Linked DNA regions of Neurospora crassa OR74A. The protein of the gene in region 1 interacts with the protein of each later gene in a pairwise test. Links are inferred from orthologs where the notes say so. Each region holds a gene or a part of one and is shown on either strand. Other genes may lie near its edges.

What was found.
Region 2: the proteins of NCU03818 (region 1) and NCU09219 interact in binary tests that used the Saccharomyces cerevisiae proteins (3 or more experiments, as listed by UniProt). The link is inferred for Neurospora crassa OR74A from reciprocal best matches to the Saccharomyces cerevisiae genes NEO1 and DOP1.

Annotation. Positions count from the first base shown.
Region 1 is NC_026505.1:2,505,134-2,521,511, reverse strand, and holds NCU03818 (phospholipid-translocating P-type ATPase), read left to right. Parts: upstream 1-7,853; 5' UTR 7,854-8,305; coding exon 8,306-11,773; intron 11,774-11,839; coding exon 11,840-12,249; intron 12,250-12,344; coding exon 12,345-12,462; 3' UTR 12,463-12,831; downstream 12,832-16,378. Other genes in the region: NCU03819 (COPII coat assembly protein sec-16, variant 1), read right to left, coding at 298-968, 1,036-6,619; NCU03817 (FMI1 protein), read right to left, coding at 12,923-13,729, 13,899-14,288; NCU03816 (hypothetical protein), read left to right, coding at 15,972-16,252, 16,371-16,378. UniProt on the Saccharomyces cerevisiae protein: Flippase that catalyzes the hydrolysis of ATP coupled to the transport of lysophosphatidylserine, phosphatidylethanolamine, and phosphatidylserine from the lumenal to the cytosolic leaflet of the Golgi apparatus membrane and ensures the maintenance of asymmetric distribution of phospholipids.
Region 2 is NC_026501.1:5,883,941-5,900,380, forward strand, and holds NCU09219 (dopey domain-containing protein), read right to left. Parts: upstream 8,480-16,440; 5' UTR 8,142-8,479; coding exon 8,045-8,141; intron 7,966-8,044; coding exon 5,436-7,965; intron 5,378-5,435; coding exon 5,142-5,377; intron 5,090-5,141; coding exon 2,184-5,089; 3' UTR 1,799-2,183; downstream 1-1,798. Other genes in the region: NCU09218 (RNA methylase, variant), read left to right, coding at 402-499, 584-1,628; NCU09220 (vacuolar fusion protein mon-1), read left to right, coding at 8,995-11,031; NCU09221 (HIT finger domain-containing protein), read right to left, coding at 12,565-13,412, 13,481-13,754; NCU09222 (hypothetical protein), read right to left, coding at 14,442-14,528, 14,596-14,701, 15,056-15,213; NCU09223 (protein disulfide-isomerase), read right to left, coding at 16,051-16,440. UniProt on the Saccharomyces cerevisiae protein: Required for traffic between late Golgi and early endosomes, and for the normal structure and organization of the endoplasmic reticulum. Required for normal cellular morphogenesis.

The DNA.
Region 1 (16,378 bases):
AGTCAATTGCATAGCTGGAGCTGAGAGACCGAAATCGACAATACAGCTGTGGGATGTACGCAAAGAAATAGACAATTGGCTTCTGGGATACCGATTGCATTTCTCCATCCTCGACTTCAAGAAACCGTAGAAAACTACCAACTTGCGCTTATCATCCCCCTTTCGCCGTTCATTACGTACATACATGCATACATACACTCTGCATTAGAAACAGTCCAATCCAATCTAACAAGACCCAAAATTTATACACACCGACTCATTCCCTCATCCCTTAACTCATTCACCCCCCGGGCCCCCTTACTTCTGCATAACATCCACATACCTAGCCGCCTTCCTCGGCTTCTTCGCCTCACCCCTCTTCCTCGGTACCGCCGCTCCCAACAAATCATCAATACTACTCGTCGCGCTCAACGGCTTACTAGTACCAGCAGGGGGCCCGCTCGTGCTCGTCGAGGCCGGGCGCTGCATCGCCGCCGGACCCATGCCAGGGGAAAGCAAGCCCGCACTTGGGGGCCCGTTACTTCCACTGGGACTCAGCGGACCAACAGCGCTAGGTGGGCCAGACCCAACATTGCTCTCCGACGCCGAAGGCATGAGCGCCGCCGGTCTAGGCGGACCAGTAGGCGGGGCGCTGGCGCGGCCGGGGGTGTTGGGCGCGCTACCGCCGCCCACGCCCATACCCATGGGAGGAGCAGGGCTGGAGGCGGATGAGCGGGGGATGCCGCCCTTGGGTGGTGGTGGCGTGGATTTCTTGGCGGCTTGGTCTTCGGGACTGGCGTTCTTGTTGATCCAGCGCTTTTGCTCGGGGTCGTAGTAGAACGAGTTGGCCTCGCCGAGCTTGGCACGGATGGGCTTGCCGGGGCTGCTTCCGGCGGCGTTGGCATCGGCGGCGGCAGCCTCCTTCTTTGCGAACCAGCTGGTGAAGCCCCAGCCCTTCTTGGCGGCTTTGGCTTCTGCGGCGCGTTTGGCTGGAGAGTGATGTTAGCGATACGTGAGGGTTGAAAATGCTATGTAGGTGGGACTGATGGTACTAACCTTCTTCTTCGGCGATCCGACGGACCATTTCCTCGTTCTCCCGGTCAATTTCAGCCTTGGACTTGCCGGCAGGCTTCGGCGCCGCGGGGAAATCATCGTCATCGTCATCGTACATAGGGCCCTTCTTCTTCGGCTTGGGCTTTTCTTCCTCAGATTGATCGTCATCTTTCGAAGGTGGGGTGTCGGGTTCGTAAGAAGGCGGTTCATAGCTATATGGCTGGAATGAAGGGGGCTCAAAGGTGTTGACACCTTCGCCACCCTGGTTAGAGTCACCGTTCTCCTTGGAGGCACCCTCCTCCTCGTCATTGGTCGCCGGCGCCTCGTAAGGGGTGAATGACGGAGGCTCATATCCGTACGACGGCGGCTGGTAGCCAGTTGACGGGGCCGAAGGGGGTTCGTTAGAGGGCTCATCATTTGCCGAGACGTTGTTTTGTGGAGTGAAGGGTTGATAACCAGAAGTAGTAGCCGCTGGGGATGTCAAACTTTGCTGAGGCTGCATGTTATGCAGAGAGTAGGATGATTCCTGTGGCGTCGTGCCGTAAGGTGTATATGGCTGAGCAGGCGAAGATGTACGGTTGGGAGCATAGCTGCTGTGCGAATAGCCCCGCTGAGAGTCCAAAGACTGACGCGGAAGCTCAACTGAACTTCTGCTGTACTCGCCTGAGGCCCGTTCCATTGATGAGCGAGGCGCATATGGAGAGTTTGTCTCATAGGGGTTATAGTTCGGAGTCGATGGTTGAGGAGCGCCTGGTGCGTAGCGTGAAGCCGTCCGTGTAGGAGGAGGAGGAGAGAACATATTAGGACCGTTCGTCACGGGAGCACTAGGCATGCCATAGCTGGGGATGGTCGCGCCAAAGGTCTCAAGATTGTTGACAGAGGGCGAGCGACTGATAGTCGGGGTTCCTCCGGCGATTCGTGCAAAGGGACCAGATTCTCCCGCAGCGTCAGGTGAGCCCTTACTGCCATCCTCGTTGTCATCTCCAGCGACAAACTTGTTGAACCGATTCCACATGGAATCAGATACCTTATTCATGCTAGGCTTCGGGATCCACGAGTTTGATTCCTCCTTGGGTGCCTGCCTCAATCGCTTCATCAAGTCATCGACATAGGCCTCAAGGATGGGATGGTAATAAGGAGAGCGCTTCGTCTGCGCGGTGATCGCAGCCGTGATAGCCTCGCAGTATTGAAGGGCCTTGTCTCTAAAGCCATACTCGGCCAGGGCGTATGCGTGCTGAAGCTTGTACGCTGCCAGGTGAGGATTGCTGACGGGCACGGTACCACCAGCAAGGCTCTGGCCGTACTCATAAACCTCGCTCAACAAAAGAGGCTCAATCTCCTTTGCGAAATGGTCCGCCTGCCGCCTATGGTCAGACCCAACAAGAACGAAGTTAGAGTTCGGGTTGTCCAAGCCGCCGAAGATGGTTTGACTTCTGGCAAACAAGAAGCAAATATGAGCCGCCTCGGCTCTTCCATAGCCTGATAGCAAATTGCCCAAAAAGTTGATGGCTCGGGCATCATCAGCAGTCCTGTTGCTGAGGATCAGGGAGAGGGTTTCGCGCCACTTATCAAGACCACCCATGGCGTCCTTGGAGGGACCAGAAGATGAATTTTTGGCCACTAGCTGAAGACCAGCTCGAGCATGGGCGGGCACCAGCTCGTCCACGCTTTCTTCGTGGTTGCCAGAGAGGACATCATAGAGAGCAGCAAGCGACTCATTGTTATGACCGGTGGAATTCACCTCGTTCTTCACAAATTCTTGAGCGACCCGCTTATAGAGGTCAGGGTTAAGGGCGTTGGCCAGCAGGAAGGCATGGCCCCAAAGCCGCTTATCGACCGCAGCCCACACTGCCTTCTCATTGTCGCCACTGATGAGGTGGTTGCGGATCTGCTCAACAGCAGAAGAATCAACCGAGTCGGCTTGTAGTGAAGTCGTGGCAGAATTGCCCATTCCTGATGGGTTCAGAGCATTTGCGAACTCAGGCTGACCACCAATGGTTGAAGCCTCCGGGTACAGGATTTCGCGCACAGCTTGGTTAACGGTCGGGTTTCCTTCCAACACGCCATCATGCTCGACAAAGACCCTCAGAATCTTCCAAAGCAAGAGTCTCTCTGTTGTCCGCTTGTCATCGTGAGACGGGTTGAGCTGATGAGACAGGTTATGTGGCACAGTCCTCTCCAGCATCTCAATTCCGTTTGTTAACCAGGCAATGGTCTCCTTCTTCTTCGACTTCCCCTTTAGAGGCCCAGGGAATTTGGCCAAGCGCTCCTCCATTGGCTCTATGTCCTTCATGCTCTTGACCTTGACTTCTCCTGGGCTACGAATAACCATGGGGGCTGTTTGGCCCATGCCATATCGTGGCACGTTCTTGGGGAACATTGTTACCAGAGCTCCACCTACGCCCCAGGAAATGAGAGGAACACCACGCCATCTCTGTAGGGGATCATGTTCTCTACCATCTGTCGGGGGAACTAGGTTAAAATTCTGAGTGTTACCACGCGGCCGCGAGGTAATCGTAGAAATGGGGGGGAAAGTAGAACTGGGTTGCATGGTGATAGGAGAATACAACGCAGCCCGCGGCGAAGTCGCGTCAGTGACCGACGAAGGACGAGGGATAGGTTCAATAGGCTTTACATTCCTGTTCCCGTAGAGGGCACCAGGGGATTGAGTCTGCGACCGAGGTGGTGGCGCGAATTCGTGAGATGGAGCACTAGCCGCAGGCTGATAGCTGTATGCCGCCCTCTGAGGGGACGTCACCGGCTGCACAGTTAGAGACTGCGGAGGCGGTGTCCTTCTAGAACGGTGGGGCATAGCGCCATGTCTTGACGCCGTAGGAGAGGTCTGGTGGGATGCCGGGACTTGGTTGGGGGACACCATACCCTGCATGGGGCCTTCTTCTTCCACCTCCTGAGTCGGAGGTAGAGAAGGCACTCTCTGCAGTCGCAAGTCGTACAACGAGCTGCTGCTCCGCTTTTCCGCCAGGCCACTTTCTGCATGGCTAGAAACAAGAGGCCTGGACTCGAAATGTGCTAGCGGACTTGAGGTACGGGGTTGATGCGGCAAAACCGGTGGTAGAACCGGTGGCACCGAAGTAGTCGGAGTATAACCCGAACTCGTTGGCCGAGAAGCTGGCGGGGCGGGAGAGTAACGGCTTGCCGCAGCAGGTGGGACGGGAGTGCTGAGCTGTGACCCACTGGAAGGCGCTGGAGAATAACGACTTGAAGCCGGGGCAGGAACAGCGGGAGCAAGGCTCGTAGTGCTGGGCTGTATCGAAGCATAAGGGTTGACACGTGGCGGCGCAACCAGGTTGGGAACCTCCGCATGCTGGGTAAAGGAAGAGTTGGGAACAGATCCCATGGCAGACGGCATTCCAGGTACTGGTGGCTGCGAGGCGATAGAAGGTGGGCCAGCCGGGGGCGGTGGGCCGTATGGGCTAGACTGTGCCGGCGATGCGGTGCCCAATGTATTTCGAGAAGCTGGGCGCGCCTTTGTGACCACAGGAAGCTCTTCAAAGAACTTCTCCTTCGGCTTGGCTTCACCACGAGGCGGTGGTGGCTTGACACCAGGCTGAGATGAGTGTGGAACAGAGGTAGGAGGTGGTGGAGGAGGCAGGTGAGTAGCGCTTTTGGAAGGCGGTGGAGCGGCCGGTGCTGTCACAGGCTTGTTAAGAGTTGCCGTACTTGGGCGCTTCTTAACCTTGACTACCTCCATAGGAAGGTCGTACGGTGACTGGTAGCCGCCCTTCTTGTCGACGAAGCTTTGGGCTTTCCTCTCAATCTGTGGCGGAGGGACCGCGCCGTATCCAAATCTCCCGCTTGGAGGTGGAGCCGAGACAGGGGCGCCAAAGGGCGTAACAGACGGCGTCTGCGCAACCGCGCTGGGTGCGGCAGGAAAGTAAGGATTTGACGGCGCCGAAGTTAGGGGTGGCGCAGTCGGGGCATAGGGATTCGGGGCTCCGGTCAGGCTTGGAGTTTGGGTCTGAGGCATGTACCGGGTGGTAGGGGTTGTCGTGGTGTTGGAGCCAGCTACGCTAGGCGCTCTGGGCTGGGTTGTTTCCTCCATTGTTGGGAACTCTTCCGAATCGTCGAGAAAGCCCTCATCATCACTCCCAAAGAACGCAGCCGGATCAATCTCCTTCTCCTTGATCTCATTCGACGCCTCTGTGGAATCATCAAGAAGCGATAGGGTGTCCTCTTCATCGTCAGCAAACAGTTCCTTCCACTTGGCCTCAACGTCTTCGCCTGCTGGCTTCTGCTCCTCGTGACCTTCACCTGTGTTCAGATCTGTACTCGTTATCTCGGGATGGTCGTGGGTTTGCGTCTCTACCGTGGCGACGGCCTCTTCCTCGGGCTGCTCTTCCACTGGTGGGAAGCTTGGCTGGACGGAGCCCATATCCATAGCGCCCAATACTTGCATCGTCGACTTGCGTTCGAGCGGCTGCGCCTCAAAGTCAGCTTGGTTGACGCTCCCTTGCTGAACCTGGCTGAAAAAGTCGTCCTCATCATTGGCATCCTCTCCTCCGAATAGGTCCTTTGTATCTTCCCGCTCGGCTGTCGAGTTTCCATCATGTGCGATCAGGGGAACACCTTCTTCAAAACGGGCATCAAGCGCCTCAGTGGCCTTAGCACCTAGGTCACCAACCATGTACTGCTGAGAATTGTTCGCGTCTTGGGCGCCAAACTGATCAAATCCATCGTTCTGTGCCTCAGACAACTGGCTGAAGAACCCATCATCGCCCTGTACCTCGACCTCATCGTCATCACCAAGGAAATTTGCGACCTGGGGCTGGACAATTGCTGACTGCTCCAAATGAGGATCGGTTTGAGGTTGCTGCTGCTGCTGCTGTACCTGCTGTACCTGTTGATTTTCTTGTTGCTCTTCCTGCTGTTGCTCGTGCTGTTCTAGGGGAGGAACAGGAGGAAAAGAGTTGGTTCGGTCGCTCGATGGCAAGAACTTGAAGGGATCCGTATCCGCTCGCGCGAGGTTCCACTCAGGATCGCCGTCATCGCTCCAGCTCGGCTCATGGGGAATGGTTCGAGTGAAGGACATCGTACTCGTGTGCTTGGAAGCGACATCCGATGGCTCGTCTGTATCGGCCTTTTCTGTAGTAGTAGCATCGGTAGGCTCCACATGTTCGGGGACGAGGTCAACGGTGGCAGCGTCTCCTGGGACGGCCTCGGTAGCTTGCGCGTTCTCTACGATGGGCTCGGGAGCTTCGTCCGTCTGAGTGGGAGCTGGCTCGACAGCTTCAGCATCTTCCGTAGTTACATGTGCGGTCTCGGTCTGTTCGGTAGCGGTATCGGGGGTGTCGGTATCAGTTTCACTGGTTATTTGGCTCGTAGCTTGCGCATCAGTCGCGGGTAGTGTCGTATGACTGCCTGTTCCATAGTCGGGAAACCAGGAGTCAGAGGCGCCATTCTGGGCGGGCACGTCCTCTTCTCCTCCATCAATTCCCCAGAAGTCGGAGCCATCTTGGGCTACACCGTTCGCATGATCTGTTGAGTCGGCGACGGTGTTATCAGTCGGCAAGGGGGCCGGGAGGTCGGCGGCCGATTCTGGCATGAATGCCGGGTTCCATGAAGCCATGGCGGGCGATTAGATGGCGCGATACAGCTGGGGACGCTGTATGGGCGCGCAAAAACACAAAAAAAATATTGAATTACTGTATATAATAAGTAAGATTAGTACATGAAGAAGGGGAGAGAAGGTGGGAATATTTGAAGATGGAGAAAGGGTAGTATTTGTTGTTGGCCAGGAGGAGCTAGCTACAAACAGTAGAAGTGGGAAGTCCAGGATGGGGCGAAACTCGACGGGATCGCTTGATCGCGTAACGAACCGAACGGCGATTGGCGACGGGATTGAGAATGGGGAGCGGACCTGGGCAACTGGGCTGCCCTGTTGAGGAGGAGCCTCAGAGGACTGCGGGCAAGACAACCCCTGTTCAGCAGGCCCAGAGTGCGCAATTGTCGAATGGGAATGGGAATAGGGGCAAGCAAAAGGGACGACTAACTTGTACAAGTAGGTTCAGCAGCTGATCATGGCTGTCAACATGAGGAAGAAAGTCTAACGCCGGCTGGATTTCGTCAATGACAAGGAAGAGGGCAATGCTGTCGTCCTGTTTGTTACTACAGATCTGGGAAACGTTGGGATGGAATGGTCGATCACACGTGGGAAAGGATCATAGTATGAGACTGCGCGACTGCAGAACCTCAATGGAAGGCCAAGTTCAGTTGTTGCAACTTGTCAAGATCCAAGACTGTGACGATGGAGGCGCACCGGGAGCGGCCGTCGGAAGATTCCTGGGAAAATCCGCGGAAATCAAGACACAGAGGTCGCAGAAGGTTGACTGCTGCCCTGTCTGCACAATAGTACACTACGCTACGTGGTACATTTAGGCGGTCTGATATATGGATGGCGGGGAATGCGCGGGGATCTCTAACAAAAAACGTTACAACAGCTGTCCTTCCATGTTACATGGATGGGGAAGCAGTATACCTACTTAGCTTATCGGCCTGTCCCAGTGTTGAGAATATACTCAGTTATTTAGGTGAATTCGATGGATGCCGGTAGGTACTGCTTTAACAGATAAGCGCGCTCAGTCCCTCCTCCAGCATCATCACAGCCACTGCACGAACTTGGACGCACCAGGAGGGAGCCTGTCATCGATGGGTAGGTAGGTACCTCTAGAGTGGAGGTACGAGGTACGGTATGAAGAGCAGGCCGCGCACACAGTCCGATCACTGCCACTTTACCACCACTTTCAGTTCAAGTTGTTAGTTTCCGTTCCGAGTCCCCGTTTGTGACTTTCTTTCCGTCACATGCCATCGTCATCTCTCAGTTCCCTACCTCTACCTAGTTGATGTGCCCGCGGACGACTTGATGAAAACATTGTACGAATCACTACCATGACTGGACTATTTTCTATCGAGTAACTTGACACTATCTCGACTCCCGTCCCCTTGCAGGCGCAGCACACCCGACCCCAGAAGCACGTAGCACCCAGCAGCAAGACAGACGCACCTAGACTACCAACCACGGCCACTATGGGAAGGAGGAGTTGATCTCGACACCACGAGGACCCTCCCAAGTGACCCCTAACTCAACCCAAACAAACCAACCACAGATCCGAACGCAGTCGCGACCACAGCCCAAGCTACCCTTAGCTACAGTTAGGCCGCGACAGATCAGACAAAAAAAAAACAAAAAAGGACAACACGACTCAAGAGCATACGCTATCTAGCTGTGGAGGAAAAGGGCTTCGCCCAATGCGGAATGCCTTCTTCAGACACATACCATCTCTCCAAGCCGCCCGATTCCCACGTCGTCGATGAATCCGACTCCGACTTGGAGATAGACCTCGAAGAACTCGACCCCCAGGCAACCGACCCCAATAACCACCACCAGTCCTTGGGGCAACACCGCAGCCGCAACTCGTCCGAACAACGCCCTCCTCCCCCAACAACAAGTATAGCACTTCGCAATCTTCGCATGGGGAGTCTACGCCGTGGCGCCAAACGCAATGGATATGGCGAGCTAGGCCGTAGCCGGGACGGAAACGACGACGACGACGCCGACGCTCTGCTCCGCCATGATCGCCACTCGGTTGGCAGTGCCACCCACGACGAGGATGCCGGCCTCCTCAGCGAACATGGTGGTGGCGGCCGAATACGCACCAGCAGTGGAAGACGACGGAGGTCTTTCGCCGGTGACGGTCTTCGAAACATCTCGATGAAGCTACCAGGCTTCATGTCGGGCGACCAGAGCAACCATAACGACGAGCAGGAACAGGAGGAAGACGACCCCTCATCGTCACGATTAGTTGCAGTTGGCTCATCCCAGTCTACCCGCTTCCCACCCAACATCATATCCAACGCAAAGTACACAGCATGGAGTTTTCTGCCAGTCACTTTGTACAACGAGTTCTCCTTCTTCTTCAACATGTACTTCCTCCTGGTCGCCCTCTCCCAGGCCATCCCCGCACTACGAATCGGCTATCTCTCCACCTACGTTGCACCCTTGGCATTTGTCTTGTTCATCACCCTAGCAAAGGAGGCTTACGACGATATCGAACGGAGAAGAAGGGACAACGAGGCGAATTCCGAAGAGTACACCGTTCTGCAGTTCGACGATCCAGGCGCTAGTCTAGGCATCAACCGGCCTAGGAGGAAGATGAAATCGTCTCATACACGAACGGGCTCTAAACGTCTTGGCATTGAGCAGGAAAATGATCGGCTATCGGATATCCAAGAGGAGGAAGAACAGACTGAAGGTCGGGGTCTTCGCGAATTGCCGGCATCCTACCTATCCGAAGTCAGCAAAAAGTCGCGGGACCTCAAGGTCGGTGACGTCTTGAAGCTTACCAAGGGCCATCGCGTTCCGGCAGATGTTATCATTCTCAAGTGCTTGGCACACGAATCAGCTGCCAACAAGGAGACCGAAGAGCAAGAAGTACCCGCGAAGGAGGAGATGCTGCTCCTGGACCATGTCGATGATGACGATGTTGGAGAGGGCAGTTCCAAGAATGCGAAAACGTCCAAGGAGAGCAACAATAATGGCGCCGAGGGAAGCTCTAGCGGCGAGACTTTTATTCGGACCGACCAACTGGACGGTGAAACTGATTGGAAGCTGCGGTTGGCGTCCCCGTTATCTCAAAACCTTAGCACTGAGGAACTAGTTCGTCTCCGTGTCACGGCCGGAAAACCTGACAAAAGGGTCAATGAGTTCGTCGGAACATTGGAACTTCTTCCTTCGCGACAAGATGTCATGAGCGGTGCCGCCTACAACCCTAGGGAGGGCGACGATGTCAAGGCAGCGCCTCTCTCGATCGACAACACGGCCTGGGCGAATACGGTCATCGCATCGAATGCGACAACCCTCGCAGTGATTGTTTATACCGGACCTCAAACCCGGTCAGCCCTGTCTACATCACCTTCGCGATCAAAGACCGGCCTTCTAGAGTATGAGATCAACTCACTCACCAAAATCCTTTGCTTCCTGACGCTCTTCCTGTCTATCGTTCTTGTTGCGCTGGAAGGCTTCAGCACGGCCAAGGGAAACATCTGGTACGTGAAGATCATGAGATTCTTAGTGTTATTCTCCACCATCGTCCCCATTAGTCTCCGTGTCAACCTGGATCTCGGCAAGTCTGTCTACTCATGGTTTATCCAAAGAGATCCTGGGATTCCCGGGGCTGTCGTGCGAACCAGCACGATTCCGGAGGATCTGGGACGGATAGAGTATCTACTGAGTGACAAGACGGGCACTCTAACCCAAAACGAAATGGAAATGAAAAAGATCCACGTCGGCACTGTCTCGTATGCCAACGAAGCAATGGATGAGGTTGCAACCTACGTGAAGCAGGGGTTTAATCTGAGCTCATCGGCCTCTTCCGCAAGCTTGGCTTTGGCAACCCCGTCTTCAACATACTCGGCCGCCAATGTTGGTGCCACGAGGACACGCCGAGAGATTGGGTCGCGTGTCCGTGATGTCGTACTAGCTCTTGCCCTCTGCCACAACGTTACCCCAACTTCGGAAGAAGACGAGAACGGTCACACCGTCAACTCATACCAAGCCAGCTCGCCTGACGAGATTGCCATTGTAAAATGGACCGAGTCCGTAGGCTTGCGTCTGGCTCACCGAGATCGCAAGAACATCGTTCTCGAATCCGCCGAAACCGGCCGGCCAGTGGTCAAGGTTCGTATTCTCGACATTTTCCCCTTCACTTCGGAGGGCAAGCGCATGGGCATCATTGTCCAGTTCTACGAAAAGCTCCAGCCCGGGAACCCCAGCCTCGGCAGCAGCGAGATTTGGTTCTACCAAAAGGGTGCGGACACTGTCATGAGCTCCATCGTCGCTGCCAACGACTGGCTCGATGAGGAGACGGCCAACATGGCGCGCGAAGGTCTCCGCACGCTCGTGGTCGGCAGGAAGCGTCTGTCTCTGAAGGAATACCAGGAGTTCTCGGCCAAGCACCACGAAGCCTCGCTCGCCATCAGCGGCCGCGAAGCCAACATGCAGGCTGTCGTCTCGCAGTATCTCGAGCATAACCTGGAACTGCTTGGTGTGACGGGCGTCGAAGATAAGCTGCAAAAGGACGTCAAACCTTCTCTAGAACTTCTTCGAAACGCCGGCATTAAAATCTGGATGCTTACAGGCGACAAGGTCGAAACCGCTCGCTGCGTCGCCGTGAGCTCCAAGCTTGTAGCCAGGGGTCAGTACATCCACACGATTGCCAAGCTCAGGAGGAAGGACGGCGCGCAAGATAATCTGGACCTGCTCCGAAGCAAGACCGATTCCTGTCTGCTCATCGATGGAGAGTCCCTCGCCATGTACCTGACCCACTTCCGACGCGAGTTCATCTCCGTAGCCGTGCTTTTGCCGACCGTCGTGGCCTGCCGTTGCTCGCCTACCCAGAAAGCCGAGGTCGCCAAGCTAATCAAGGAGTACACCAAGAAGCGCGTCTGCTGTATCGGGGACGGTGGAAACGATGTTTCCATGATCCAGGCTGCTGACGTGGGCGTGGGTATTGTGGGTAAGGAAGGTCGCCAGGCTAGTTTGGCGGCCGACTTTTCCATCGAGCAGTTTCATCACTTGACCAAGCTTTTGGTGTGGCACGGTCGTAATAGCTATAAGCGCAGCGCAAAGCTGGCGCAGTTTGTCATTCATCGTGGCTTGATTATTGCTGTCTGTCAGACTATGTACAGTATTGCTCTCAAGTTTGAGCCGGAGGGTCTCTACAAGGTACGTTTGACTTGGCGAGTGATCCCTTTCGTTGCAGTCGTAGTTACTAACCTAAACAAAACACAGGACTGGCTGATGGTAGGCTACGCAACAGTCTACACCGCATTCCCCGTCCTCTCTCTCGTCCTCGACAAGGACGTAGACGAGGACCTTGCTAACCTGTACCCCGAGCTCTACAAGGAATTAACCTCGGGTAGCTCTCTTTCCTACCGGACGTTTTTCGTTTGGGTCTTCGTCTCCATCTATCAGGGCTGTCTGATCCAGGGCCTGTCTCAAGTCCTCACCGGCATCGATGGCCCCCGCATGTTGGCCGTCAGTTACACGGTGCTGGTGCTCAACGAGCTGCTCATGGTTGCGATCGAGATCACGACGTGGCATTGGGTCATGGTGGTCTCGATTGTGGGAACCTTTCTGATGTACATTGTCTCGATACCGTTTTTGGGGGATTATTTTGATTTGAAGTTTGTTTTGACTTTGTGAGTGTTATTACCTTTTCTCTCTCTCTCCCTGGGGGTACTACCGTATCCCTTTAAAAAGATTGTTCACTAGACTGACTGACCAAAATAAACAGGGGCTTCTTATGGCGCGTGGCTGCTATCGCTGCTATCTCGCTCATCCCGACGTATGCGGCCAAGGTGATTAGGAGGACGATGAAACCGCCTTCGTATAGGAAGGTCCAGGGGATATAAGAGTTAGATGTGGGCAAAAGAAAGAAGAAGAGGAAGAAGAAGAGGCTTGAGCTGGGATGGGAGGCAGTGGATTGGAATTGAAAAAAAAACACAGTGTCGAGGCTGGCGTCTCTTGTTTTTCTCTTTGTTGACTTTTATACACACTAGACGTCCTACATACCTCTACACAGTTGGTATAGCGCTGATACTACCATTGGTATCTCAACATCTCCAGTGCTTGTTTTGCCCAAGCGTTGGTGTGCATGATGACATTGTTCGCTAAACCATTCAAAAGATGGACGCGGGGCTGCTTGTATTCGTTACTTGGGAGTGTTCACTCACTATTGTGGGTATGCTTAGCGATGTCACGGTGATCAAGAAACATTCAGCTTTGATCGAAATTGAATTCAGCTATGAAGACTTTTCACGAAGATCTCACAAATCCTTACAGGCTAAGTAAGGTACGCAGATACCTAGGGGTCTACAAGGGCAACCTCAAAATCTCACCACCCTGCTTGATCCCGCCCCTGAACAGCTCCTTGATCACGTTCCCCTTCTTGATCGTCTCCTGCACAATCCCCTCCACATGCTTCGGCTCAACCCTACCGTACCAAATGCCATGTCCCGCCAGTGGATGCGGCACGTCCGAGTCATCATAAGACTTCAAGCCCGGCGGGATATAAACAATCACGTTGCCCGCAAATTTGTGGCCACCAATGTGGCTAATCAGTCCAACTCTTGCTCCCCAGACCCCCTTCTTTTTCTCCAGGTCCACCACGGCCTTCTCAGCAGCGCCCTTCAGCACTTCAATCCCCGGCCCTTGTTGTTGTTTTTGTTGTTGTTGTTGTTGACCTTGCTCCGCCAGCCTCGTCTCAAACTCACTCCTCAACAGAGGCCCGTACACCCCACACCGCTGGTCCCGCCCGCCATGGCCGCAGATGAGAACAATCACCTCGTTGCGGATGTCGCGGACCCCGCCGGGTAGCATATCACCGTAGCTGGGATCGCGGAGGAGGGCCTCCCGCTTGGCGGGCGGCGAGTGGTTGTGCACGGGGTGCAGCTTTTCGGGAAGGAGGTGGGCTTTTACGAGGGCCTTGACGTGGTTGGGGTCGGAGGAGAGGGAGGGAACGTATTTGAAGTCGGGAAGGAGGTAGATGGATGTTGTTTTTGGGGGGGTGGTGGTGGTGTTTGTGGCCTCCTCTTGGTCGGCGGGCGAGGAAGACGCAGAAGAAGGAGACGAAGAAGATGGGGGGAAGGAGACGTTGAGGACGGAGATGTTGTGGAAGGGCTGTTGATGGGGGAGGAACAAACCTCAAGGGGGAGGTGGGAACTTACCTGTTAGCCATTACTGCTTTCTTTTTTTTTTTTCTTTTTCTTCTTCCCGTTGGATCCTCCACCATCTCCTTTAACTGTGACTGGCTGGACCTTCCTTTCCATGGGCTTTTTGGTCAACTCACATCGCTATAGGGACCTCCGCGGCCAATTAGATCACGCAGCATGGCGGCATGGTTTTGGCCATTGTCATCGTCCTCGATTTTGGATGGCCAGTCGTCCTTGCCAGTGCAGATTAGGACTTGCTGAGCGTGGTTTGGCATAAGACCGTTAAGAGGCGTGGTATGATCGATCTCGAAGCCTTCGGGGAACGAGGGAGTCGGGGCGCATGAGCAGGTGGGCGATGGGCAGGTATCGATGGTCGGGAAGGCCGCAGGGGCACCTCTTGCTGCGTATGTGCGCCGGAAGAAGGGGGCTACATTACTGGAGCGTTGAGCGCAAGCCCGCGTCGTCGAAGCGCTCAGGGCTGCGGTTGCGACTCGTGATGTTTGGCGGAGAGGTCGGAGGAGGAGCATGGTTGTTATTTGTGCGGATCAAATGCGCAAGGAAGACCGTCTGACCATGTAGGGCCCAATTCAGGGTCGGAGATGTCGTCTTTTATATCCCTTGTCGTTGTCGCAAATGGAGTTGGTGATGGATGATGGTGCTTAGTTAATTTATGTCAGCGGAGAGTTCGGAGTTACGAGTGCTTACTGTGTAACTACAGGGGTAACTTTTGGCGTCATCGAAGTGGAACAGCTTATCGTAGCTTTATCTGATTAGATAACGATGTATTGCATGCACCTCTAGAAGTACCATAGCGCGCACACGGTATCTGTAAAAATGGTCTTGGGTATGATTTCAATGCAAGTGGATTCTTTTTTTATAGAGGGAGCATTTTGCAATATAAAAATCATACCAGGTATGATCGCTTGGATAAAATGATAAAATTTGAAAAAATAATTTTATATACAATATTATTTTTACATTAAAATCATCTCCAAGATGCTTTTGTATTGAGTAGATTTTAATATATTAAATTTGCTATAAGTAAAAAGACTATTTTAAATTTATTTTACAAGCCTTTTTCAAAAAGAGTAATAAATAACTTTATTATAAGAATTTCCTAAATAACTTATTTTACACTTTTATACTTATAGTAAATATTTATTTTTACACTTAAAATCCTTATTAAAAATTTTATATTTATATTACTTATGGTATATAGAATTTTACATTGAAAGTTTTGATTTATAATATTCAGAATAAAATATATTATCCTTTATAACTTCGTAGTTTTAAAATCCTTGGACTTTTTTTATAATTACTTTTTGAATTACTTATATTATTAAAAGAATTAAATAACCCTTTAGAAATAATTATTTAGCTTAGTAGCTAAGTGGTTAATGAAGTAGTTCTTCATCGTTAGGTTCTTGTTCGATTCCTTATTGTAGTTGAAATTTTTATATTTATTCTTATTTCTAAACTGTAAAAAAATAGCATTATTTAATAAAGGTTCCCATACTCTAACCTTATATCTTATTCTTTTTTAATATTTATATAAGTTTATAAGTTAACTTCTTTGAAGAAAGATAGTCCTAACTGATATAGAACAAATTCAGCTTCCAAAATGAATTTAATTAATAAAAAAAAGTTATCAAAAGGTAAATCTTCTAGTAAGGAGATAAATATAATTATAAATTCTATTCTACATTAGAAAAAATTTCTATTTCAAATTTATCTATTATCTTTATAACCAATTTTTACAGTTTATCAACTTTTACTCAAACTGATCCATGGATACGTTTCAAGACAAAATATCTTGGAAGTGTAAAATCATAACAGAGATCATTTTTTACAAGTAGGGTTGCGCGCTATGGTACCTCTGAGTTCCTCGATTGCACCTTTCGGAAATGGTACCTCATCAGCGTCAACCGACTTCAACCGTCGATTTGACTTTGGTCGTGTAAACATAAGACTCCAGTGAGTGTGGCTCACCTGTTCGGGCTTCTATTACGATCTTTTTCTCTGGGCATTGGTCAATCTCACCAAATAGGTCAATAGTAAATATCAGCCATTAAAATAATAAGCGTATTAATTTCTCTACATTGACATCCATTCGCACCCTCACCTTGATGTACAGAAGAAAATAGCACCAAGAAGTCTCATAACGAGTTTGTGACCTAGAAGACAACCTTCGTAACATCTCCCGGAAAACTATGCCCCGAATCAAACCTCAACTCTTTTGGCAAGGCCGCAAAAAACTAGGTCTTAACGCCGCCAAACTTCTTCCCGTTTGTCGAACCCTCGAATCAACCGCCAACGAGCTCCGCTGGATCAAACAGCATGTCGCCGAAACCCCTTCCATCATTCCCTTTGGTGCCCGAGTATGGAAGCTATGCGACAGGCGAGGCAAAGGTCTCCCTTTGGCTTACGTGCTTGGCAACCAGCCATTCGGTGATCTCGAAATCAAGTGTCAACCAGGGGTGTTGATTCCCAGGTAGGTACATTTGCATGTATTCACTCAATCATCACTGTCTCGTTACTTTCTCCTCGACTGTTGTTAGCTTCTCTTCACTTACCGACTAACTAACACTCTTTTCCAACCAAAAAAAAAGAACGGAAA
Region 2 (16,440 bases), on another chromosome or scaffold:
GCTCCTGCTGGCGTGGACCTTGATGGTCAAAGCTCCCAATTCCAGGCACGCTGTGGGGTTTGCGCAAATCTAGGTGGGTTTCCTGAATTGGGGAAAAATACTAACTGTAGTCTAGTCCCTGCGACTTACACAGTACATCCAGACCGCGGCACCTTCCGGGTATCGAGTACTTCTTCACATTCATCTCAGGTTCACTCCTTGACTCAATTCAAAACCTTTTGGTCTTTCCATCGAATCTGTCCGTGATTTCTCAACCATATCAGTCCTGGGGACACAGGCAAGAAGAAAGAAGATCAACTAATTTGTCCACCACAGCAAATCAGGATTCACAATCCAAGACCAACACCATTCCGAACAACACAAAACTCAATACCTCCAAGTCTATCACAGTCATCAGGAGCATGAGTCCCAAACTTCTCAAAAAAGGAGAGAAGTTCCCTCTCGATGAAAATTGTCACCACTACACCAAACTCGGTGAAGTCCCCTGGGACATCCAAAAGTAAGTAAACTCCCCTCCCTCTCGTCACCGTCCCTCATCCCCCAACCCAAATCTCACTAACACCCCATTTCACCCCACTCCCAGATACTGGCACCAACGTTTCTCAATCTTCGAATTCTACAACTACGACATCCACCTAACCGACTCTGCCTGGTTCGGCGTCACGCCCGAACCGGTAGCCACGCGCATCGCCCGGGACCTCTCCACTCACCCCATCGCTGACGGAAAACGCGTGTTAATCGACCTCTTTGGCGGCGCCGGAGGCAACGTGATTGCCTTTGCTCTTTCCTCGGGGAGATGGGATCGCATCATTGCTATCGAAAAGGACAGGTCGACGCTGGCCTGCGCCCAGCATAATGCGGAAGTGTATGATGTGCTGGACAAGATTACGTGGGTGCATGGTGATTGCTTTGAGGTTATGAAAAGGTTTTGGAAGACGACGAGGGGCACCAAGGGAATGGAGATGAAGGGGAGGGGAAGGGAGGGTGGAGAGGCGGCCAACAAGGGGCAGGAACAAGAGGATGACAACGAGGAACTGGATGGCCTCCTAGCGGGACTCAAGCTAGAAGAGTGTCTAGTCTTCGCCTCGCCGCCCTGGGGCGGCGTCTCGTACCGCGATCAGGAGGTTTTCGATCTTAGCAAGATGGAGCCGTATAACCTGGAGCAGCTGTACAAGGCATGCACGATGCCGCAAGAAGCAAAGGAGGAGCACCCATCGACGCAGAAGCAAAAGCATATCCTGCCGCAGGCGCTGTTCTTGCCTAGGCAAAGCGATTTGAACCAGATTGCCGCTCTGGTACCGGAGGGTGCTCCAAAGATTGACGTGGTTCAGTATTGTCAAAAAGGAGCAAGCAAGGCGCTGGTGGCTTATTTGCCGGGGAATATTGACGCCGGCAAGGAGGATAAGAAGCAGTACGAGGAAAAGAGGGGGCAAAAGAAGAGAAAGCAGGATGACGACCAGGAGCAAACGATACCAGAGCTCCTCCCCGAGGCGCCAAAGGAGGCGTCGGAGGCCCATGACGCTTACGATACCTCCTACGCCCAGGACATCGAAGTTGACACCTCCAAAGTGGACAACGCCGAAAAAAGGAAGCGAAAACGAAGGAGACGCTCATCGCACAACAACTAGCAATCACTGCGACCATGGGAAGGAAAAGAAGTAGGATCTCCCGGAGTACTATGGTTAGGCTCGGGAACCAGGTGGCTGATGAAGCCTCGGGATTGGGATAGGGTTTTAAGGAACAGGACATGATATGGACAATTGACGTTGGACGGATGTGACACGAGCATGCACATACTGTAAGAGATTTTCTTTCCCATTTTGATGGCCTTCTTTATTACCACCACCGTCAGAGTCATTGTCAGGAGATCAAGGAGACGGGAAACAAACACCCTCTCTATCGATATTGTACAAAGCATAAAACAACCATCAAGGAACAAATTACGCTACCTCTAGCACGTAAACCAAACAGTATCAGACTTTACTTAAACCTACTTCTTTTTTGTTTGGAAATGCTCCAAGCATCCTCCATCCCAATTACCACCTACTTTCCCCCCTAGACCTCACCGTCCCCGACCTCGAACTCGACCTACTCCTTCCCTCCCTCTCCCTCCCTCTCAACTCTCTCACATCTCTCAGCCCCGCCGCTCCACCACCACCACCATACGCAGAGCCGGCCCGGTCCTAAAGAGCCTTCACCACACTCCTTTCATCAAACAGATCCCTCAATAATCCATTGACACACCCCTCCCAGTCCACTTCCGTCATCTTGTACGTTGTCTCGAACGCAAAGATACTCAGCTGTCCGAAAAACGGCCGGAGCACCTTGGCCACTAGTTCGTCTTTGCGCTCCATGCCTACTTCGTCGGAGATTTGACCTGGGAGGTTTCCCAGCAGGGGACGGCGGAGGGGTTGACCTTGACCGTCGATTCCATCGGTGGGGGAAAGGAGCGAGGACGGATCTAGGCCTAAAGCTGCGGCTCCTGCTTCGGATAGGGAGCGGGAGTGGGAGTGGTGGGCGTGGGCGTGGGGAGTGACAAGAGAACCGTTGAGTTCCTCAGAGACTTCATCCACTAGCGCCACGGGCTGATAACCGGCTGCGCTGGGCCGGTAGACGGCGTCGATAGTGTCGGTGACGAATAACCACTCATGCAACTGGAAGTCATCGGGCGCGACGCAGACGAGCAGATCCAAAAGCTTGCAGGCTTGCATGACGGCCGGGTTGCCGTATATGTCGCTGGGCGCGGAGTGGTCGGGCGCGACGACCGAGGAGATGGCGGCGTGCAGCTCGGCGTTGACGACGGGCCAGAGCGGAGCGAGGTGGATGGCACTGGTGCGGAGGACGAGGGCGCGCATGACCATGTAGACTTCGGCGCGGGTGGTGGAGGAAGGGGAAGAGGTGGCGGTGGCGCCGAGGAGCTCGACGAGCTTGTCGAGAATGGACGGCAGCTCAGTTACGAAGGTGTCGTCGGTGGCGGCGAGGATCAGGGTGGCGATGCGCCGCAGGTTGAGTTGCGTCTTGCGGTCGGCTTCGAGGCGGGCGGAGGTGGCGCCGACGCCGAAGACAATGCCCGCAGTCGAGGGCGGGGTGATGCGGCCGAGGATTTCGGGCATGCGTTCCTTGTCTGCAACGGTCCATTGCTTGAGGAGGGACAGCCAGTCGGTTTGCACGAGGCTCAGGTTGGAGCTGAAGAAGCGCGAATCGTTGAAGGCATCGGCAACGTCCTTCTTCCAGGACTTTTGGTTGTTAGGTAGGCGGGATAGTTGGTGGAGCAACACCAGGGTGTTCTTTGACACGGTGTCGGGGAAGAACTTGGACCGCAGCGTTGGGCCGATCACGTTGGCCGAGATGGAGGTGGCAGCCGTGAGGATGCGGTCATTTTCAACGAGGATCTTGGGCAGGTTGGGAACGATATTGGAGAGGATCCCAACGACATCGTCTGCGCGTTCGAATGGAGTCCGGCTGGCTGCTACGGAAAGCGTCCGAGGGGCCTCATTTGGCTTCTTTTCCGAGAGAAGAAGGTTGGTAGTGGATGAAGAGTAGCTTGTCGAAGAGTTTTCCACGAAGCTGGTTGGCCGTGTAGTGAAGATAGCCGCCAGGAGACGGAGGAAGAGATCCGCCAGTTCACGACGCATCTTCCTCTGTTCTCCAAAGTTGGTGTTGTCCACCTTCTCACCCAGAATCGCAGCAAACTCCAGCAAACTTGGCAACGCCTGGCGATGGGGCAGTGGGTTGCCGAGGAGGTCCTTCAGGAAGATCATGCAGTCCTGCCATATTTCATCCATCGCATCATCCTCCAGAGTGCGTGCGTAGTCAACCAGGAAAATCACCACGTCTGTATCCTGCAGCTCGATAGTAAGGGTCGACCTCCTTGAGGGATCCAGCGCGCCCGGGTTAGTCCTGCTGTATATAGCGTTGAAAAGTGCCGGGATTGTATGCTGCGGCCGCGATCCATCAAGGGCAGGCAAGAGATTGAACACCTCGGCAGCCTTGGACGTATCAGAACTATCCAGTGCACCCCTCCATATCCCAATCACCGTTTCCAAGCACTCTAGCGTCTCAGCAGCAAAAAGATGCTCAAGGAGCCTCCGCGCTCGGTTTCTCATCCGTAAAGAGGTGTAGTTAAACGAAGCGCCCGAAGAGTTGTCTTGCAGGGAGGCATCGCTCCCTTGACCCCAGGACCAGATCTTGAAGCAGATGCGCACCGCATCTTGGAAGGCCAAAAGGACGGTAAGTCGGTCGTTAGCTGTGGCGCTCCGGGTTTGCGGTGTGTCGGATGAGAAGACACCGGAGACCATGTTGCCGAAAAAGCCTTGAGGCTGGTCTGGGTTCTTGACAACCTGGGCTCTGGCCTCTTCAGCCAGTAGCCTGTCGTGTCCCCTTGCCAGTACCTGCTCGAGGCCATTCAGTAGGGATATTAAGGTAGTCTCGGGACCAATCTGACTGTGCGTTTGAGGCTCGTCGGAGGCTCGGAAGAGCTGCTGTAAGCGGCTGAAGGTGGTGGAAATTTGACTGCAGAGTGTCTCGACCAAGGGAATCAGGACCTGAAAGATTGAATCTGAGTAAAGCGGTAGGCACTCAGCAAGAAAGCTAATCCAGCTATCCAAGACGTGTCGGCTGCTAGGTGCACTGAGTCCGGAAAGGATACACTTTAGCAGCGTGGGTGGAGGCGGCTGAAGAACGGATGGTGGTTTCCCTCCAGCCACAGCTCGGAAGGCTTTAGCCGAGTCTGCCGTAACACTTGCGGCACGTTTCTCTGCGGTTGGTGATTCTGGAAGTTCAACTGGTGCTAACTCACGTAGCTTGAGGGCCGCAAAGACAACGTCCAAAAGCAAGGTCTGGACGTAAGGCTCCGGACCTGAAAGCGACTGGGTGAGCATATCGATGAGAGGGTTCTCAAGGTGCAACTGTGCTAGTGGTTCAGCATAGGGGTTCACCAGGATAGGATGCATTACGCCCAATGCTGAACGATAAAGCTGTGTCACCCTTATTTGAGAGCTTTCGTCGTTCAAAGTGTTGACGTCTGCCATGCATTGCATGGCAACCTTGAGGAAAAACTCCTGGAAGGTCAGATCATCCTCGGATCCGGCTGATCTGGTTAGCTTCCATGTACAAGATGCCCGAATGGGATGATGACGTACTAATCTCGGATAATGATGGGAAGTAAGAATCTGGGCGGATAGTCTTTTTCGCAAGGAACGCCCAAATGCTATCAGGGGTAAAGCGAAAGACATTGGATAAGGAGCGGAGATAATACACAGCCAGCTCCACATCATCCTCGTCGGAGAATTTATGAACCTCTTTGGCTTCAGCCGAGGTTGTTTGGCGCCTCAGACATGATAGCTCGGCGAACTTGGACACGAAGATGTTGAAAATTCTGGGAGCAAAGGCGTTAGCAAGCTGTGACTTGTGACCCAGAAGGCCTGGGGTCATACTTGTCTATCCCGACTAGGCTGCTCAGCCAACTCTTGACTGTCATGAACAGCTGCGTCCGCTCATCGGTGAGGGCATCTAACATTAGGAATAACGGGCGGGTAAGCATGACTTCGTAATTATCTATACCACCAAGACGTGGCGGCGCCTTTGCGTCAAAGATGGGGGTCTTGGGTCCTCGGCGATCGCTTCCAGAGGGGTTATCTTGAAGACTATGCGACCAGAGCACACTGAAGCTTCTTCCAGGGTCGGCAGGACGTTGGATAAATGTCCCTGAAACATCTTTCTCCAGCATTAGAGAACATATGGCTGCCTCGATGTCTCGATTGGTTGGTGTCAGTGCCGTCTGGAGTAACCAAAGACTTCGGACCGTCTCAACGTGGTACTTCGGCTCTGACGATGATAAAAAGCTCCATGCGTGGCGTACCAAAGGACTAACCAACTCAGAGAGGTCCACATGGGAAATCCGGTCGGCAGAATAAAGGTGGGTAGAAAGGGTTAATAGCGAATAATAGGTGGTAAAGGTAATAAAAGCATCTGATGACAGACACCCGTGAATGGAAGCAAGAAGTTTCTTCGTATCGAGGAACGATCTGTGAGGTGTCTTGGTGAGAAGAAGCAAGAGAACTCTGCTCTTTGCAGCGACAGTCGGGCCGGACTCGCGTTGACTGAAACTCTCACAGTTCATGTCGCAAGCTTTTTGCAACAAGAGTTCCGCCACATTCTGCGGTACAAATGGGGGAGAGGTGGCGTCCAAGTTTCCTTGTTCGGCGTGGTAGAAGTTCTTGATTTTCTTCAGCAGTTCAACATTCGGGATTCCGGCCAAAACCTTGGACTCGATAGCTTTAGCTTTTGCGCTCGTCGGGAACGCTCGTTCTGGTACGAGCTCCAACAAGCTTGCAGCTATTGTTAAAGCCTGGACCAACAAAGTCGTACCGTCTGGTAGCAGAGTGGTCGCATAAGCATCACTCTCTTTCAACTCCTCGATCATGCATAAGATGGAGAGCACCGTAAGCGGAGCATGAATGGTTATCATCTCTTCTTCGCTGACGTTGAAATGGCCGAGAATGAACTTGACAAGGTCAAGCTTGTCGCTACGATCAGTCACTGAGAGTTTGCCAGGACTGATAGCCTGCGCCACGAGGTTGAGAATTTCGCTGTATATCAACCCGCTCTCGACTCCGTCAAAGAAAACACTTGCACTTCGGAGCACCTCGGTGAAGTCTGATTTGCTGTCTGCTTTTGCTTTGAAGTCTCGGACACTGTCAACAATGGGAAGAAATACCTCAGGCACAACCAAGCCGCCAATTTCCCACCTGTCCATCAAGGAAAGACAGATACGATATGGCTTCGCCCGGTCTGCCGGATTGTTCCCAACTCTACTAGCCTTAATCATGCCGAGTAGGGCCCGAGTCAGGGGTCGCAACCCAAATTCTTCAAAGTAGCTGGTCCTCGACATAAAGTAGGCAGGGGTGCTTGCAGTAGTTGTGGGAGAATCAGGGCCGCCTTCGCCCTCGTGAGCAGCTGTCGGCTCGGGGCCGAGGAGCCAGGTCCACAGCCGCCTGTTTAGACTCATATCTCTCCGGGTCGTTACCCCAACTGCGGTCTTCAGGAGGAGTTCTAGGTCGTCGGTCTTGGCCCTGGCTTGCAACACCTTGGAGTGCAACGGAAGATGGGTAACGAGCAAATCAAGAAAGCCACGTTGAATAAGGATCTGGTCATCGGCCAAACCGGCAGCAAAGCAGCGGATCAGCAATCCTGGCTCGGGAGACGTTACCAGCTGTACCAACTTGGCAGAAACCTCGGGATCCAAGCCATTGCGAGTGTCAGCCTTGTAGCCATCTGAATGTAACTGATGTCCCAGTTCAGGCAAGGCGCGCATAAGGTATGCCAAGGCCCCCGTCCTCCTGCTATGCCCGGTTATGGAAGCCAGAAAGAAACACTGCCAGAAGAAGTCGTCACCAGAGGAGTGAGTTGGCGTTATTGTCTCGCTTTCTGGTGGGCGGAGAGCGGCCTTGACGCGTTCCACAAGCTTCAATGTGCGCTCAAAGTCCTCGCTGGTTTCCTCCTCTAGGCCTGGCAAAAGAGCAAGTATGATCGATTTCAAGGCAGGTCGTAGGGATCGCGGGTTTACACCCAAGAAGTGGCGTTCGAGTAGGTCGAGGAAAGGGGTCCGGACGGAAAGGGAGGCGAACGACAGAACCGACGCAAGGCCGGGGAGATAGAGTGGCAGGTCTCGCGACAGACCTTCCTTGCCAATGACTGTGAAGATGAAATTGTAGACCTCGAGCGTCTTTTGGTGAACCCCGGACGGAAGAGACGGGTTCAAGCATTGTGACAGACGCTTTGCGACGGTAGCCTTGGCGGGGATGGTGTTGATGGTGGACGGTCGAGCTTGGAGTGCCTTGAGAAGGCGGTTGAGGAAGGAGATGTAGTCGGCCCATTCTTGGAGGGCTGTATCGAACAGCGAGAGAGCTCGTTCGACGCCGGAAGCGTACTTGCGGTAGTTCTTGTCCTTCGGCGCAACTTCGTCTGTCCATCACCTGGTTAGCTACCTGCTAGCTGTATTCTAGCGGGCATGTTTCAAGGGAGGGAGAGGAACATAACATACCATTCCCAAGCTGGTTCCTCCATTGCTTGGGTACTGGAGATTCGCGGCCAGAGCTCTCGGGGGAGATGGACCTCGGCCGGGTAGGATCAAGAGACATGGTTGGCGGCGGGTGGTGGCGATCGTGGGAGGAGGAGACCTTGAGAGTCTAGGGATTCGAGAACAGGACGTCCCCTGATCTAGGCAGACTGCTATAGGTCATTGCCGTCTCGGAGGGGGCGACGGGAAACGGGGGACGGGATGGGTGGTATCTTTGGTGTTGAGTCGCAAAGGTACCCGAAGAGAACTCCACTGAAAGATGTCACGGTAGAGGTAGAGGTAGCTTCCACTCCAAACAGACAGTTCGAGGTTCCCGTGTCGTTGGTGACGACGACTGGACGTTGAGGTGCAGCAGGCGGGAGCTAGGTGTCGACGGTCGGGTGTCACAGTGAGGCTGTGGGTTAGGTTGTTAGGGTGGGCATCTGTGTAAGACACAGTGGAGCAGCGCTGTTGATGCTGTTCGTCAGCGCACCACTCCCACCCTGCCGTTGCCTGCACCCGCTAACGGGGTTCCATCCAATCACTGATCTTCCCCACTAACATCCAGCTGCAGGAGCGGCCCGCTATCTTATCGCTAACATTTTTGGGTTCTGGAAGGTCTGGCGGTTGCGAGTTGCGATTGAAACCCCTCCCCCTTCTGGCGTACAGGGGGATGGCATGTGTGACCGCTCTCATTGTCGTCATTCTTCCGGGTCCTTCTGTCCCCTTTCTTCCACTTCCACCTATCTCTCATCCGAACTCCGTCATTTTCGGACCACAGATCCCCGACATCTCCATCCCCCATGGAGCGGACTTGCGAATAAGCCAGCGGAAATAACCAAAGAGTGAACGAAAGCGTCCGACAATGCCCAGTTCGACCAGCTCGACATCGGTGAACCTGTCGACGCCGACCTGCCACTGTCTTACTCACAACAATGGACCGGGACACTGAAGCCGGAAGCAACGATGGCACCAACGACAACAACGACACAACCATACCCCCTCACACCCCCGAAAGCAACATCGAAGCGGTCGATCATGTCCCTCCCGTACCGCGCCGTCCCAGTCCCAAGTTGTCGGACGATGGCGCATCCGGAGCCCTACATGTAGCGGCCGCTTCCAGGCCCACCACCCAAGTGTCGACCATCGATATCTCTACTCTGTCCTTTCCCGATGGATCGCGCGGCACTTTCTCGACGAGCGCGACGAGCGCGACGAGCGCGACGAGCGCGACAAGATCCGTGGCCTCGCCCCAGTCGAGCGCCAGCGGTTATACCTCCCCGCGCACTGACCTGGTCGAGACTGTGAGCGTCGCGAGCTATCCCGCAACCCTCCGTCCACCTGGCGACCTGGCAGATCTTGTCACCGGCGAGTTTAACAGGCGAAGCCGGGCATGGTCCATGCTGAGGACTCAGTCATCCTCTGTGCAGCCCTTCGAGGCCAGCAGGACCGGCGCATGCGACAGCTTGACCGGGTTCGAGAAGGAGTTCGATAATATCCCCGAACTAGGCGAGAAGGGCATCACCGACGAGCAGCGGCTGTCACTCTGGAAATCCAAGATGAAACACTACATGATCCTGTCCTCCGCCGGAAAGCCCATTTGGAGTCGACACGGCGATACAAGTCTGATCAACTCTTACATGGGAGTCGTACAGACCATCATCTCCTTCTACGAAGGCGCAAAGGACCCCCTACTAGGTTTCACCGCCGGAAACGCTCGCTTCGTCATCAGCACTCAAGGCCCCCTTTACTTTGTGGCCATCAGCAGACTAGGCGAGAGCGATGCCCAGCTTCGAAGTCAACTAGACGCTCTATATATGCAGATCCTGTCCACACTCACACTTCCGACCCTCAAGAACATCTTTGTGCATCGTCCCTCAACCGACCTCCGAAAGCCATTGGAGGGAACCGAATCCCTCCTCTCCTCCCTCGCCGATTCCTTCACCAAGGGCTCTCCTTCTGCACTCCTCGGCGCCTTGGAATGCCTAAGATTGCGCAAATCTCACCGGGCCACCATCAACAATGCCTTTCTCAAGTGCCGCAGCGACAAGCTGCTCTACGGCCTAATCGTAGCCGGGGGCAAGCTAGTGAGCGTGATCCGGCCGCGCAAACACTCGCTCCACCCAAGCGACCTCCAGCTAATCTTCAACATGCTCTTTGAATCCGGCGGCATCCGCGCCGGCGGCGGCGAGAACTGGGTACCGCTGTGCCTACCAGCCTTTAACAACCGCGGTTATCTTTACATGTATGTGAGCTTTTTTGACTCGGTAGAGACGGCGGAAGAAAACAACAGCAACAACACCAACAATCCAGAACAACCACCACAACCACCACCACCAAAACCAGTGACTTCACCAGACGAAGAAATTGCCATAATCCTCATCTCCGCCGATAAAGAATCCTTTTTCGAACTCAAATCCATGCGTGACAAACTCGCCCTTCAACTGGCCAAGAACGGTTCTCTGGCACTCATCCAATCCGCAGCCCGTCAAGGCCGGCCGCGTATTGAGACCATCTTGAACACCAAACCCCTCTCCAAGGAAGCAGGACAAGGCCAGGGACAAGGGCAACTAAGTCACTTTCTCTACAAATCCCGCGCAAATGTTCAATTCTGCCAATCCAGTCTCTCTCCTGCTTTCGAAACTTCGTCCCCCCCTTTACCTTCCTCCTCACCCTCTGAAAACGGTTCTTCCCAAAAGACGACAGAAAAACTAGTCTCCCGCCGCCGCCTAATGACGCTCTACCACCACTTACACGCTTCGATTCATGCCAAGCACTCGCACCTAAAAGTCTTGCATCTGGTGAGCGAGGACGCGGCGAGCCTGGCTTGGATCACGCCCGTGTTCGAGTTCTACTGCGTGGCGGGACCGAATATGTCGAGTGGAATCATGACACAGTGCGCAAACAAGGTAGTGCAATGGGCGAAGAGAGAGGAGGAGCGGTTATTTATCATTGGGGGTGGTGTGTTTTGATGATCATATTAACGAATTAGCATTGGGTATCATAATGGTTTTCTGGTGTGTACGGCATGTTTCGGTTTGCTTTCCTGGGTTGTTGATTCTGGTCATTTAGGGAGATACCACACATATATATCGGTTGTTTTTTTCGTATAGGTTGTTAAAGATAGTTCATTGCTCTTCAGTTCTCCATAATGTTTTTTCGGTATTATACTCGATTGTATGATACTCATAGCTTTCTGCTTCTGTTTACTCAAGCCTTAATTCAAACCATATGGACAGACATGATTCACATATGTATTAATACCTCCCAAGTCGCACTATTTCTGCCTTTTGGACAGGTGGAGATTGTTACCCCGTCCCTAAACCCAAGTGTATATCTGACTCCCTGGTTTGCCATAACCCAATGCTTATCTTCCCATAGTGTCCTTCATGGGATCATCTTTGTCCGACATAGCGGTATTGGAAAGGTTCCATCCATCCTTGAAAAGCAGATATAGTGAAGAGTATCCAGCTAAAGCCATTAACATCATAAAGCCATTCATCGGTTTCGATTAAGGTATTGCCTTCCCTCAACTCAAAGGTGAATTAAACATATAGGAGAACTGCGCAAAAGTGTTGCAAACACATGACTCGACCCCATCATGCAAAGCCGAGAAATCAAAATCCGAACTTTTCACCACCCGTTAAGTTACCATACCATCCAGTCCTGGGACTCGAGCTTAATCCCGGAGTGTTGGCGCTTTACCAACCCATCACCAAATCCTTTCCAACCTTTCCGTCCATCCCGTCCTTCCCTTCCTTTTCGTCTCTTCGTTTGTCAGAGCCATTGGCGACGGAACTTGCTCGATCACCGTTGGAGGAGGAGCTATAACTATAAGTAGTGACTGACATGGGGGTCCAAAGCAAAGATGACTCGCTCCCGCCCTTCGCCAGGGGCATTCTTGAAGTGAACACCACCACCACGGGACTTGACGGGGAGTGGCATGAAGGCATTAGAGTTATCGCTCGTGCTGGGTGTGGGAAGTAGCCTCTTTCCAGCCGCTTCCAGCAATAACTCGATAGAGTCTCCTGGCAACCCTGTCCCTTGTGAACCCAGTTTATGGGCTTTATATCGATGCTTGTTGATGCGGCGTTGCTTGCCAGTACTGTTGCTCAAAGTGGAAGTCTCAACAACGGGTGCTTGGTGTTTCAGTGCAATGCTTCCATCATCAAAATATGTGAACTGTACAGTAGAGGTCCTTCATTCCTCTCTAAGCCTCGCTGAAAGAGTCAAGTTGCCCTTAACTCGTCTCGGCCAAGGGAATCAAATTCCACTCCAGAAGAGAAGACTGAGCCTGCATTTCGGTTCTCCAATTTCTGTTTCCATGTACTGCATGATACTGATCGCGTGTCAACGGCCTTTCAGATTAGGACTTCAGTAGAGACGGACCTCAATGGTAACTCGTCCATGAGCACCATTGGCCGAGGTGACACATCCTTCAGTTCTGCTTCCACATCTCCTACCCACCTTACCTCTTATCTTCCCGCTGCCTCGAAACCCTAAACCTACAACCCATATCTAACCAAACACTCCTCCCGATGCGCCTCCAGACACTCCAAAGCACAAACCCTCGCCCCGCACTTGATGCACTTCACACGTCCCCAATACCCACACACTTCGCAAAACCTACGAGCCGGGTATCTGCCCTCCTCCTCCTCGGTCCACTGCGCCCGCGCCTCGAGGTAGCTCAGCGGTGGAGCCGTTATCAACGCCCGGAGCTCTTCGTCCGTTGGGAAGGGAGGGACGCGCGAGACGAGCAGGGGGTCGTCGTCGCCTGGGTGGGGAGTGGGTGGTGGTCGGTTGTAGGCTGGTAGGATGGTGCCGTCTGGTGGGTAGGATTGGATGTTTGGTTGTTCTGTTGTTGTTGGTGGTGGTGTTGCTGTTGTTGAGGGCTCAAGGGATGTTGGTGTGTCGGGACGTGGGGGAGGAAATGGTTCTGAGGAGTCTGGGGTTATGGTTTCTCCTGTGGCTTCAGGGCCATCGGCCATCTCTATATCGTCGCTGCCGGCGACGGCTTTCGGTTGTGGTTGGGTCTTGAGCTTTTTGTGGGACCCGCCCTTTTCTTCTTTTGCTCCTGCTGCTGCTGCTGCTGCTGTCGCTGCTGCCCTTTTGGGAGCGGCCGAGGAGCGTTTATTTGAACTTGCGGTGGTGATAGTCGATGGAGCGGGCGAGTTCCTCGCTGTTGTTGTTGCTGTTGTTGTTGTTGTCGTCGGTGTTGGTTTGTTTACATGAGCTGCAAGTTGAGGATTGCTCTCGGCTAGTGCCAGGAAGGCTTGAAAGTCATCTAAGTGGTTCGCAAAGGTCTTTTGTGATTGTAGAATCTTGCGCACGTTCGGTGTGTGTTTGTTTTGGGCTGTTCCAACACCATGCCATGTCAATTCCGTAGTCTCTTCAGGATAAAAGGTTCGGATGATTGCGCACCTCTAGTCCCACCCGCCTTGGGCGGTATGGGAATCTGCGCATCCCTATGTGAATCTTTGTCCAGTGCCTCGAGATCCTTCCGAATCTTCGCATCCTGCCTGGCAGTAAGATCGGGAGCGCCGACATTGGCCTTGTCGCGCGCAGCACGTTTGCGGTTGAGAGGTTGTAGCGCAGCGGCCGCGGCGGGCGTAAGGCCGGTATCTGGGACGTACGCCCATCCTGGGGCGTTTTTCGTCTTTTGACTGGCGACTTCGATGACGCCGAAATTGTTCATGATGTTTGTGTCTGTTTGGGGTGTTGGAGAGATGCAGAAACGTGCGTTATCGCGAGATCAATAAGGCGCGATGACCAAAGTTCAAATGGTGATGTAAGAGGGAAGTTTTAGATGGGCCGAACCGCGTGGCGCGTTTACAGCGCTAGGCCGGGGTCCGGGGTTGCTATAAAACGGCGCGAGATCACTGGATCTGCCAGAGCTACCCCTGAGCGTCCACTCAAGCCCAGGGTCACCTAGTCTACGAGTCTACGAGGAAATCCAATGGGAGAGCTCATTGTGGGTTGAGCTTTGAACATCGGTTTCAGAGCTCCCGTCTGGTACCTCGACAGGGTGATAAGAGTCGTGATCATGCTTACCTATTGAATGTTTACCCATAGAATTGCCCGGTATTTGAGTGTCTAGGTACCAGTGGTGAGAAAACCTCTTCCTTGTCGATTCCAACTTCTGGCTTCGAGCAGCCCAATTTCGATGTACAGCGAAAGCTCCCGTCCGATTGCCACCAGAGCACGCTCTCCTCCAATTTCAAACCATGAAAAATAAACACCACTTCGCACTTCAGCTTTTGATGTCAATAAAACCCCATCCCGCATCCTTAGTTCTTATTCTTTTGTTCTTCACATAACGGTTGATTATATGCCCATGTCCCCAAACTTCTCATGTATTCCTTCCTCATCCGCAAGATATCGATTACTTCCTCTTCCTCTCCAACGCCTCCATCTTCTCCTCCAAGGTAACAAGGTATTTGCTCAGCCTGTCAACGGCATTCTGAAGAGCCTGTGTTTTCGAATGTCAGCAATGTTTCAATCTCTTAATCTAATCATGTTGTTGTATGTCCACCTACGTAGATATCTTCCGTCAAGAGGTCGTTCGAGGCCTTGTACTCTTGGAGCGCATAGTAGTAGACAGCACTGCCGGCGAGAGTGCTACCGAAGAAGAAGCCGAAAAGCCTGTGTCATGATCGGCGGGTTAGCATTCCTCGTGTCTATGCAGGGGCTTGTATAAAACCTGTCCCCTTCTCGTCGTTGTCGCCAGCTTTTCCTCAAGCTGCTTGTCTCCTTCCAGCCCCAAACGTACAATCCTCCGTCACATCTTCATCCCGTCTCATCCCAATGACCAGTCATTCCCATGGATTTCCCCTATTCAACCCTTCTTTGGTCGTTTCCGGGATCATCTCTTGCTGCCTTCGCCCATTTTCCACGCACCGCGCACCCGATCCAGTAGCATCCCCAAGTCCACAACTTCCCGACCGAACCTCAGCGAATTCCAAATCCAAAATGAACCCCCAAGATGAATAAACTCACCCCCCACGAAAAGCACCAACAGGTTTCCTGGCAGGCAGCGGTGGCACCGCGCCCGCGCCGGGAAGTCCAGCGCTGGAGGTCGTAGCGACAGACTCGAACCTCCTTGCTGATGTCTGGAAGCCGCGACGGAAGGCGGCGGATAGGACTCTGGAGGCCATTTTACGTTTTGTATGGTGTGAATGTCTGTCTTCGTTTGGTCCAATTGGAGCCGCGTTTATGAATGCGATTGCGATTGCGATTGTGTCAAATTCGTTCGGTCGTTGAGATGTTCGTCGTAGTACTCGCTATAATGCGATCGGGGATTTCAAAGTTGCGGGAGGAGATTGGTATCGATCGATTCGCTGGTTCGTTTGGGGAAAGGGGAAATAGCGATGTTTGAAGCGACGGGTGTGATAGATGGAAGCTGGGACTGAACCCAAACCAACCGAACCAGGAACTGAAACGACGTCAGGTCAGTATCGCCAGACGGGGCAGGCACCCCGCGGGAACGGCTAAGTAAAGGTTGTGACGGCATGACAGGGGTCTTGGGTGGTGGGTGCAATTGAGCCAATCAGTGAGAGGGAAACAAACGGGCGGAGTGTGGAGGCAGAATGTCAATCGGCTTGTTACGGTGGACGTGTCCTCGAGGTTCGGTCGTTGCCGTCAACCGGTTGTAAACTGATAAGGATCGCGATAAGGCCCTCAAGGTGCAAGCTTGGACAGACAAAGAGGAAGGAATAGAACAAAGGAAACGACTTGATAATTGACAACTCATCACGAATGAAGAAACACATGACTGAATTATATCTTGTGCGTGTTTTTGTAGATTCCGCTAACAACTGATAGACTATATTGAATTCCCTTACAAACATGCCTTTTGGTATCTTACTCCCAGATCCGTACAAGGCCGCTTCTTTCCCGAAAGGTGCTGTTGCCCAACGAAAGACCCTTGTTCCCAGTAAAACCCATAAATGATGATGCTATTAAATACTTAATGTCTCGTCTCGACTGACCCTTTAGAGCTCGTCGTGGCTGGTCTCCTTGGCGGGCTCCTCGACGGTGCCAGTCTCGGTGGAGGAACCAGACTCGGCGGAAGCGGCAACGGATTCCTCAGCCTCAGCCGGGGGAGAAGCCTTGTACTTGCCGTTCTCGGAGATGAACTTGATCAAATCCTCAACGGTGCGGGGGCCAGAGTACTCGACGGGCTTGTCCTTGGCACCGGCAGCGTAGAGCTTGATGGTGGGGAAGCCCTGGATCTCATCGGGAACGTCGTTCTGGGTAGCATCAACCTTGGCAATGACAACCTTGTCCTTGAAATCCGAGTTGGCATAGAGGGTAGCAAGCTCATCGTACTTGGGAGCGAGAGCCTTGCAGTGACCGCACCAGGGAGCGTAGAACTCGATAAG